Xenopus tropicalis: one gene and its partner. The protein of the gene in region 1 interacts with the protein of each later gene in a pairwise test. Links are inferred from orthologs where the notes say so. Each region holds a gene or a part of one and is shown on either strand. Other genes may lie near its edges.

What was found.
Region 2: the proteins of ankrd40 (region 1) and ahcy interact in binary tests that used the Homo sapiens proteins (3 or more experiments, as listed by UniProt). The two-hybrid records come from large-scale screens. The link is inferred for Xenopus tropicalis from reciprocal best matches to the Homo sapiens genes ANKRD40 and AHCY.

What each region holds. Positions count from the first base shown.
Region 1 is NC_030686.2:46,623,291-46,627,024, forward strand, and holds the start of ankrd40 (ankyrin repeat domain-containing protein 40), read left to right. Parts: upstream 1-791; 5' UTR 792-863; exon of another isoform or gene 864-1,096; 5' UTR 1,097-1,158; coding exon 1,159-1,265; intron 1,266-3,698; coding exon 3,699-3,734.
Region 2 is NC_030686.2:41,230,289-41,234,044, reverse strand, and holds the start of ahcy (adenosylhomocysteinase), read right to left. Parts: upstream 2,792-3,756; 5' UTR 2,770-2,791; coding exon 2,742-2,769; intron 1-2,741. UniProt on the Homo sapiens protein: Catalyzes the hydrolysis of S-adenosyl-L-homocysteine to form adenosine and homocysteine. Binds copper ions.

The DNA of each region.
Region 1 (3,734 bases):
GAAGCCAAAAAGACCTGAAGACGAGCAGGACACTTAAAGACACAGCGGGACATTTCAGTAAGTATCTGGGACAGCGGGACGGTGTGCAAAAATGGGACATCTGGGGGTGTGGCCATATAGTGGGCGCGGCAAAATATTTTTTCCCTCTTTTTCGTTTTCAAATGTTGGGAGGTATGGCCTAGGGCCCAACGATTGGGGGATGCCAGGCAGGAGCCTCTCCTGCCTACCCCATGTCATTGCCCCATTGCCCCAGCCGCTTGTCATTACGCGGTGGGGGCAATGATCCATCGCATCGCACCCCGAGGTTGCCTAGGGCGCCTGGTCGCCTCGGCCCGCCCCTGAACAGGACCCCAAAACTCCCAGAAATGTGTTCAAACTTTAAATAATCTGCCAAATTTAGTCAAATGTGAGTGGTGTTTAGGGGGTGTGGCTGCAAAAAAATGGCCATGGTCAAAAAATCATTTATTTTTGTCCCTCTTTCCCTTTTCAAAATGTTGGGAGGTGAGATACTGAGTCAGTCTCAAACTGAGGGGGGGGAGTGATTGCTTAGACCTATAGCTTCAAGGAACCTTCATTATAATAATCAACAAAATGAAGAATCGCTATAAAAAATACATCTAAACACTAGTATTTATTATTGAAGCCAGTGGCGCAATATTATGCCCCAGCAAGAGACACATTCCGGGCCTGTGTATTCGTGCGTAACCCGGAACCAAAGTGCCGCGCCTGCGGTGTCCCACGGATTCCTGTCCCCCAGCAGAGTGTTCCGGAGACATGCCTCCATCCGGGAGGGCGGATTATCTCTATTTTTACGTTAAATCGGAAGAGTGGGATCGTGATCTTGGGACCTTTACAGTGTGATGGTTGGTGTGTGAGTGGGACTGAGCCGTACGTACCCTGTGCGTTACACAGCTATTATGTTGCTTTGGGCCCGGGGGTAGGGCTACACTGGCACCACTTCCCTGCCCGCTCCGGGCTCTCTCATTATCACACTGCCCCAATTATAGATTCTTTTCTACTCGTTTGATTCGCAGAAGAATCACAAAGCTGCCTTTTTATTTTGCATAAAATCTGATATATATTTCTATTACTGCAGCCAGATGAAGATGTTACTAGAGTAAAACCGAGGTCCCATTTTTATTTTTGGAACCCACCTACATGGAAGAAGGATTGAGGGAGGCTGCTGCTTTGGGGGATTTGGAAGAGGTGCAGAAGCTGCTGAGATGTGGGGCCAATGTTAATTCACAGAATGAAATCAATGGCTGGTAAGTGGCACCCCCAACCCCCATCTTGTTGTTTATATGGGGGTGGGGAATTGGTTCTGGAAGTGTAAGTTCTCCCTGCAGGGTAGCATGGCTCCAGTAGATGGGTATTCAGGTAGGCACAGTGGGACAAATATAGGGTCCTGTTAGTACTTGGGCACTCCTAGGCAGTTTGGGTGATGGGTGTTATTATGATATATACATATATATATATATATATATACATACACATACATACAAGAACAAATGGAGCACACCCTATACAAGATCAAAAGCCCTGAGTGCTGGCAAAAATAAATCCGATGTTTCGAGCACTAACGGTGCTCTTCCTCAGGGTTCGTGCTCGAAACGTCAGATCTTTTTCAATAAATACTTTATTTATATATAAATATATATATTTATATACAAAAAAGTTCTCACGACCGCACCTCACTCCAAAATGCTAATAAATAGCTGCCCATGTGCACGGAATACAAAATAAAACACAGCCAGCACCAAGGGTCTTATAGTTCAAAACAATCTCAAGTGTATTGCATGTATAACCAATAATACATGCAATACACTTGAGATTGTTTGAACTATAAGACCCTTGGTGCTGGCTGTGCTATATAAAAGAGCAATAAAGGCCAGCACTCACGGGACTTTTAAGAAAATATTGTGTCAGCAAAAATAAATGGTATACAAAAATTGTCTACATGGTTTTTTATATATATATATATATATATATATAACAAAATAAATATAGGGGGTCTGATAGCTATCTGACTAAGGGTCCCCATACACGGTAAGATCGCCAAGCGAGCGGATCTTCCCCCGATATCCCCACCTACAGGTCGGCGATATCGGGGAGCTCGAAGTTAAAAAAATAAAAATAAAAAATAGGCGATTATATAGGCGGCAATGTATCAGTCGGTTCGGGGACCGCATCAACGAGCCGATGCGGCCCCCGATCCGACTGAATCTTTTAACCTGGCCGATCGATAGCTGGCCAATTTCAGGCCAGATATCGGTCGGCCAGTCTGCTCGTTTCTGCCCCTACACGGGCAGATAAGCTGCCGAGTCGGCCCAAGGGACCCATATCGGCAGCTATTATCGGCCCGTGTATGGGGGCCTTTAAGCATCAAATGGACCTTTTCTACTCTCATCACAGATTTCTGCTTCAACCAAGCCAGAACCCTGCAGAGGTATGGAGGAGAAAATTAACAAAGCAACCATCCAGGATTTTGCTTTAAAGGGGTTGTTAACCTTCAAAATAATTTTTATAATAACATAAAGGGTGCTGTTCTGAGACAATTTGCAATTGGTCTTCATTTTCTAATATTTGTGTTTTTTTAATTGCTTTTTGTTCAGCAGCCCTTCAGCTGGGAATTTCAGCAACTATCTAGTTGCTAGGGTCCAATATAACTTAGCAACCAAGCAGTGGTTTGACAGAAAGACAGAAATATGAATAGGAGAGGGGCTGAATAGAAAAATAAGTCATAAAACGTAACGATAACAATAAAACTGGAGCCTCACAGAGCAATAGTTTTTTGGCCCCCATTTAAAATCTGGAAAGCTTAAAAAATATATAAAAAATGTAGACCAATTGTAAGAATAGGCCATTCTATAACATACTAAAAGTTAACCTGAAGGTGATCCACCCATTTAATTAAAGTTATCCATTATTAAGTATATATCTCTGTCCTTGTTCCTTATCCCTCTGCGCCATTGCTCTAAATCATAGCTGATTATATGCAGTGGGCAAATTATATATGATATTGCAGGTTTAAGGGCTGGATTACATTAAAAAGATAATATACAGTAAGGTCTGTGGAGCTTTTAGGCAGCCTGGGAGCCATAAAAATCCACTCAGAGGCCTCCCGTTGGATGGCCCTGCTCTAAATGATAATGTACCATTCGGGTAAAGGGTAACCGATCCGGTATTGTCCACTGGCTCTGACTTGCAGCATGGCTCCAGTGCTTTTGGCATGCACATATATGGGTTTAATAGCCAGACTCCCAGATGGATATTTTCATATCTCTTTATGGCAGTAGTGTTTTGGGGGGACCCATTCTCTTTGGGCCTGATGAAGGAAACATGGAAACATTGCTGCAATAAATGTAGGAGCAGGGACGGCACAGAGTTACTCTTTCTGTAAATTTTTAGGGATCGGCACTCCACTAAGGCTCAACTTTGTAGCTGCCTTTCCACCCTGCCTCCCTGCACTCACCCCAGTTATCAAGTGGCCCCAGTGGCTTCTACCCCAACTCCCAGAGTAGCATTGCCCCTCCCAGTATCCCTCAGGCTCTTGACTGGCATCCCACCCACACTCCTTGATGATGTCACTCACAGCTAAAGACACCCAGGGCGGCTTTCAGTATAGTACTGGTATAACCCAGCTGTTCCTCTAGACCCCACTGGCCTATATTCATTATATTTGTATGTATCTCCCCAAGGACTTGCCTGCATTGGGCGTGCAAGCGGAACCACCT
Region 2 (3,756 bases), about 5.4 Mb from region 1:
ACCATACCGCTTTGCTAAGCAGAAACCCTCTCAATAAAGAAGAAATAACTTATGAAGATTACAAATGAAATCCTTGGATTGTACAGGTATGGGATCCATTATCCGAAAACTCGTTATCCAAAAAGTTACAAATTATGGCCATCTCCCATAGACTCCATTATAAGAAAATAATTATTATTTTTAAAAATGATTCCCTTTTCTCTGTAATAATAAAACAGTACATGTACTTGATCCCAACTAAGATATAATTACCCCTTATTGGGGGCAGAACAGCCCTATTGGGTTTATTTAATGGTTAAATGATTCCCTTTTCTCTGTAATAATAAAACAGTACCTGTACTTGATCCCAACTAAGATATAATTACCCCTTATTGGGGGCAGAACAGCCCTATTGGGTTTATTTAATGGTTAAATGATTCCCTTTTCTCTGTAATAATAAAACAGTACCTGTACTTGATCCCAACTAAGATATAATTACCCCTTATTGGGGGCAGAACAGCCCTATTGGGTTTATTTAATGGTTAAATGATTCCCTTTTCTCTGTAATAATAAAACAGTATCTGTACTTGATCCCAACTAAGATATAATTACCCCTTATTGGGGGCAGAACAGTCCTATTGGGGTTATTTAATGGTTAAATGATTCCCTTTTCTCTGTAATAATAAAACAGTACCTGTACTTGATCCCAACTAAGATATAATTATCCCTTATTGGGGGCAGAACAGCCCTATTGGGTTTATTTCATGGTTAAATTATTTTTAACAAACTTAAGTTATGGAGAACCAAATTACGGAAAAATCCCTTATCCGGAAAACCCCAGGTCCCGAGCATTCTGGATAACAGATCCCATACCTGTACTATCTAGTCTCTAAGTTGGTAAAGTAGACATGTCAAAAACCAAAACCATTGTGATCAACTCCCAGTTCAATGGGTGGCAGATTGTTAACATGTCTGTGTAGGGCTTATGTCAGGGAGGGAGGGAGGGAGGTAGGTTTGTGGCTGATTTAATAGGAAGAGGGGGGACAATATACTACCCGCATCATAGGAAACAATGGAACCCCTTTCTGGCCAGTTACAAGTAGCAGCATCAGCATTAAAGCCATAACCATGGGTCCCCAGATGTTGCAGAACTACTTGCATGACTGTACTGTACAATGTAAAAAAGTAAACATAGGGATACCTTGACCCTGAATGCTATGCTTATGGATTATGGGAGTTGTAGTTATGCTTTTGTTGTCCTTATCACTATCGCCTTGAACAGTTATGCTAAAATACATGTGATATGCAAGAGCAGCTTGTAGAATTCCCATGTCTCTATCAGGATTTCCCAGCCCTGACTTAACATCAGGTAAAAACTGCTGGAGGGCAGCCATTTTTCTTTTTAGCTCCTCCTTCCATCAGAATACAGATCCTATTTAAGGAGAACTTACGCAATACAATTTGAAGATTTCTAGTGCATGATGGGGGGGGGGGTCTGTAAGTTTGGGGGTGATGGCCCCAAAGCTTTCATCAGAAAACAGACTTCTAATCCTTCATTAAAGTGTATTAGAGATTTCATTCTAACTCAGCACTTCCAAATAAGTGTATAAGAGTGTTTATTATAGAAGCAGCATTACGTACACACCACAAATGTACATTCACAGATTTTATATCAATTAAGGTTTATGCTGCACCTCCAAAACCTGACCAACAGTCACTGCCCCCCTATACAGAAGAGATGTTACATGCTGCAATATCTTCCGCCTGCTCTATGGAACTCTGCAAATCTCCTGTTACAACATGTGGCAGCTTACGGAAGCAGCCATGGAGCACTGACAGCTGGAATTTGTAGTTCCGCCAACCGCTCCACAGCAGCACGGCACTCCCCTCCCTGAACTACAACTCCCAGCAGCCTGGAGTTTGCTGATTTGGGCAAAAGAACTGCCTGCAATTAGAATGAGGCTGAGCAAAGCCATGCTGAGATTATGAGATCCGTGGCCCCGGGGCACTCGCAGTGCTGCAGATCGACACATGTACAGGGGACAGTTATATAAAGCAATTAGTGTGTGTGCAGGAACATTAGGATTTACTGGGTATAAATGACATTTATTAAGGTTTTACTGTCATTAGAACACACAGTGAAGAAGCAATGCCATTTCTAATTTAATGAGCAAAAGCTGCCAAAATACACAGATGATAGATGCAGTACACATGTATTATAACACAATTACAAATGCCCCCCATAGTTGTCAGCTATATAGGAGGGTTGAATGGCATGAAATAATATTACCTATGTACTAACAATTAGCACCACAGTGCCAGCTATTTACACACCTTTTGGCCCAGGGTTATTAATAATAATAATAATAATAATAATAATAATAATAATAGGGTTAAACCAAGGCAACTGATCTGCCCTCTCTGTGCACCAATCAGACCCTGTGCCAGGCATAATGACATAACACCTACCCCCAATCATCACAGCTAGGGGCAACATCTGACAGCTGCCCCATTAACACCAACTAAGCTGTGTATGGCCAATAAATACCCCCTTTTATACCCCTCAGATATAGAAAATTATTATTATTATGGCTAGGCAAGATATAATGCCTCCCCCCCCCCCCATTGGTCCATGCTTTGGCCATGCAGGGGCAATTACAGCCAGGCTGGGCACTGATTCATCTAAAAACAACCCAGCAGCACCCAGCCCCCCTACATCAAGTTGCAGCAAGACGCCCCCCGCGAAGATTTTCCCTCCTTACCGACTTTGTAGGACAGTTTGTCAGACATGGTGAAGAGGAGGGAGATCTCACGGTAAGAGCCAGGAGAAGAAGAGTGGGCGGGCTGCTGCGTCCCCTTTAAGAATAACCCGCTCTGCACCTTATAGGGCAGTAAAGAGGCGGGGCGCAGTGCGCCTGACTCGTATCAGCGGCTTCCCCGCCGCTTGACAGCTAAGCAGAGTAGCCAATCACAAACAAAGGGGGCGTGTTTAGCGAATGAATGGCGTCTCTTTCCTTCATCATGCAATTGGCCTCAGTAAAGTGAACTTTGGCAGCGGATGACGCAATGTAGCGTGTGGGCAAAGGTGCCCGGAGATCTGCTGCTCTGCTGATAATTAATCATTATTAACGGAGCGTTATACCGAGCTGAGGGCATTCTGGGTACAGAGCGTTCAGGGATAAATGCAGTTCCAACTTTATGGCTTGTTAGTGGTGTTATCCTTAGTTATATAACCAGGGGGCGCCATTAATAAACTTGGTTTAGTCTGAAGCCTTACACTATGGGTGAAGACACATGGAGCTACTAGTAGCAGCTACTTGTCGTGGCTACTAAAATAGACAATGCTGATCATTTACTGAAAATGGTCTCTGTGTGTTTTAGCAGAGGTAATTCTCAGTATTGTCTATGGCAGGGGATTTTCTGGAGTTTAGTAGCCCTGAAAAAGTAGCTGCTGCTAGTATCTCTGTGTGTCTTCCCCCTAATGGGACAGGTGGTGTTTTGTCACCTGCTGACACCCCGGAATCTATCACTACTTGTAATGTGATTTAATGGAACTTTCCCTGGTTGATTCATATGCAGGGTCGGACTGGGCCGCGGGGAAAAATCCCGGTGGCCCAGTCCGACCCTTTCCGGCGCTCCCCCTGCCCAATTGTTCCTCCCTGACATGTTAATTTTATACGCGCTTGGGGAGGGCGTCTGGTAGGGGCCCTGCGGGGGGAGTTAGGGGACACGGCCGGCAGGGGCACCTGCAGGGCCCCTGGGGCGGGAGCCCCGGTT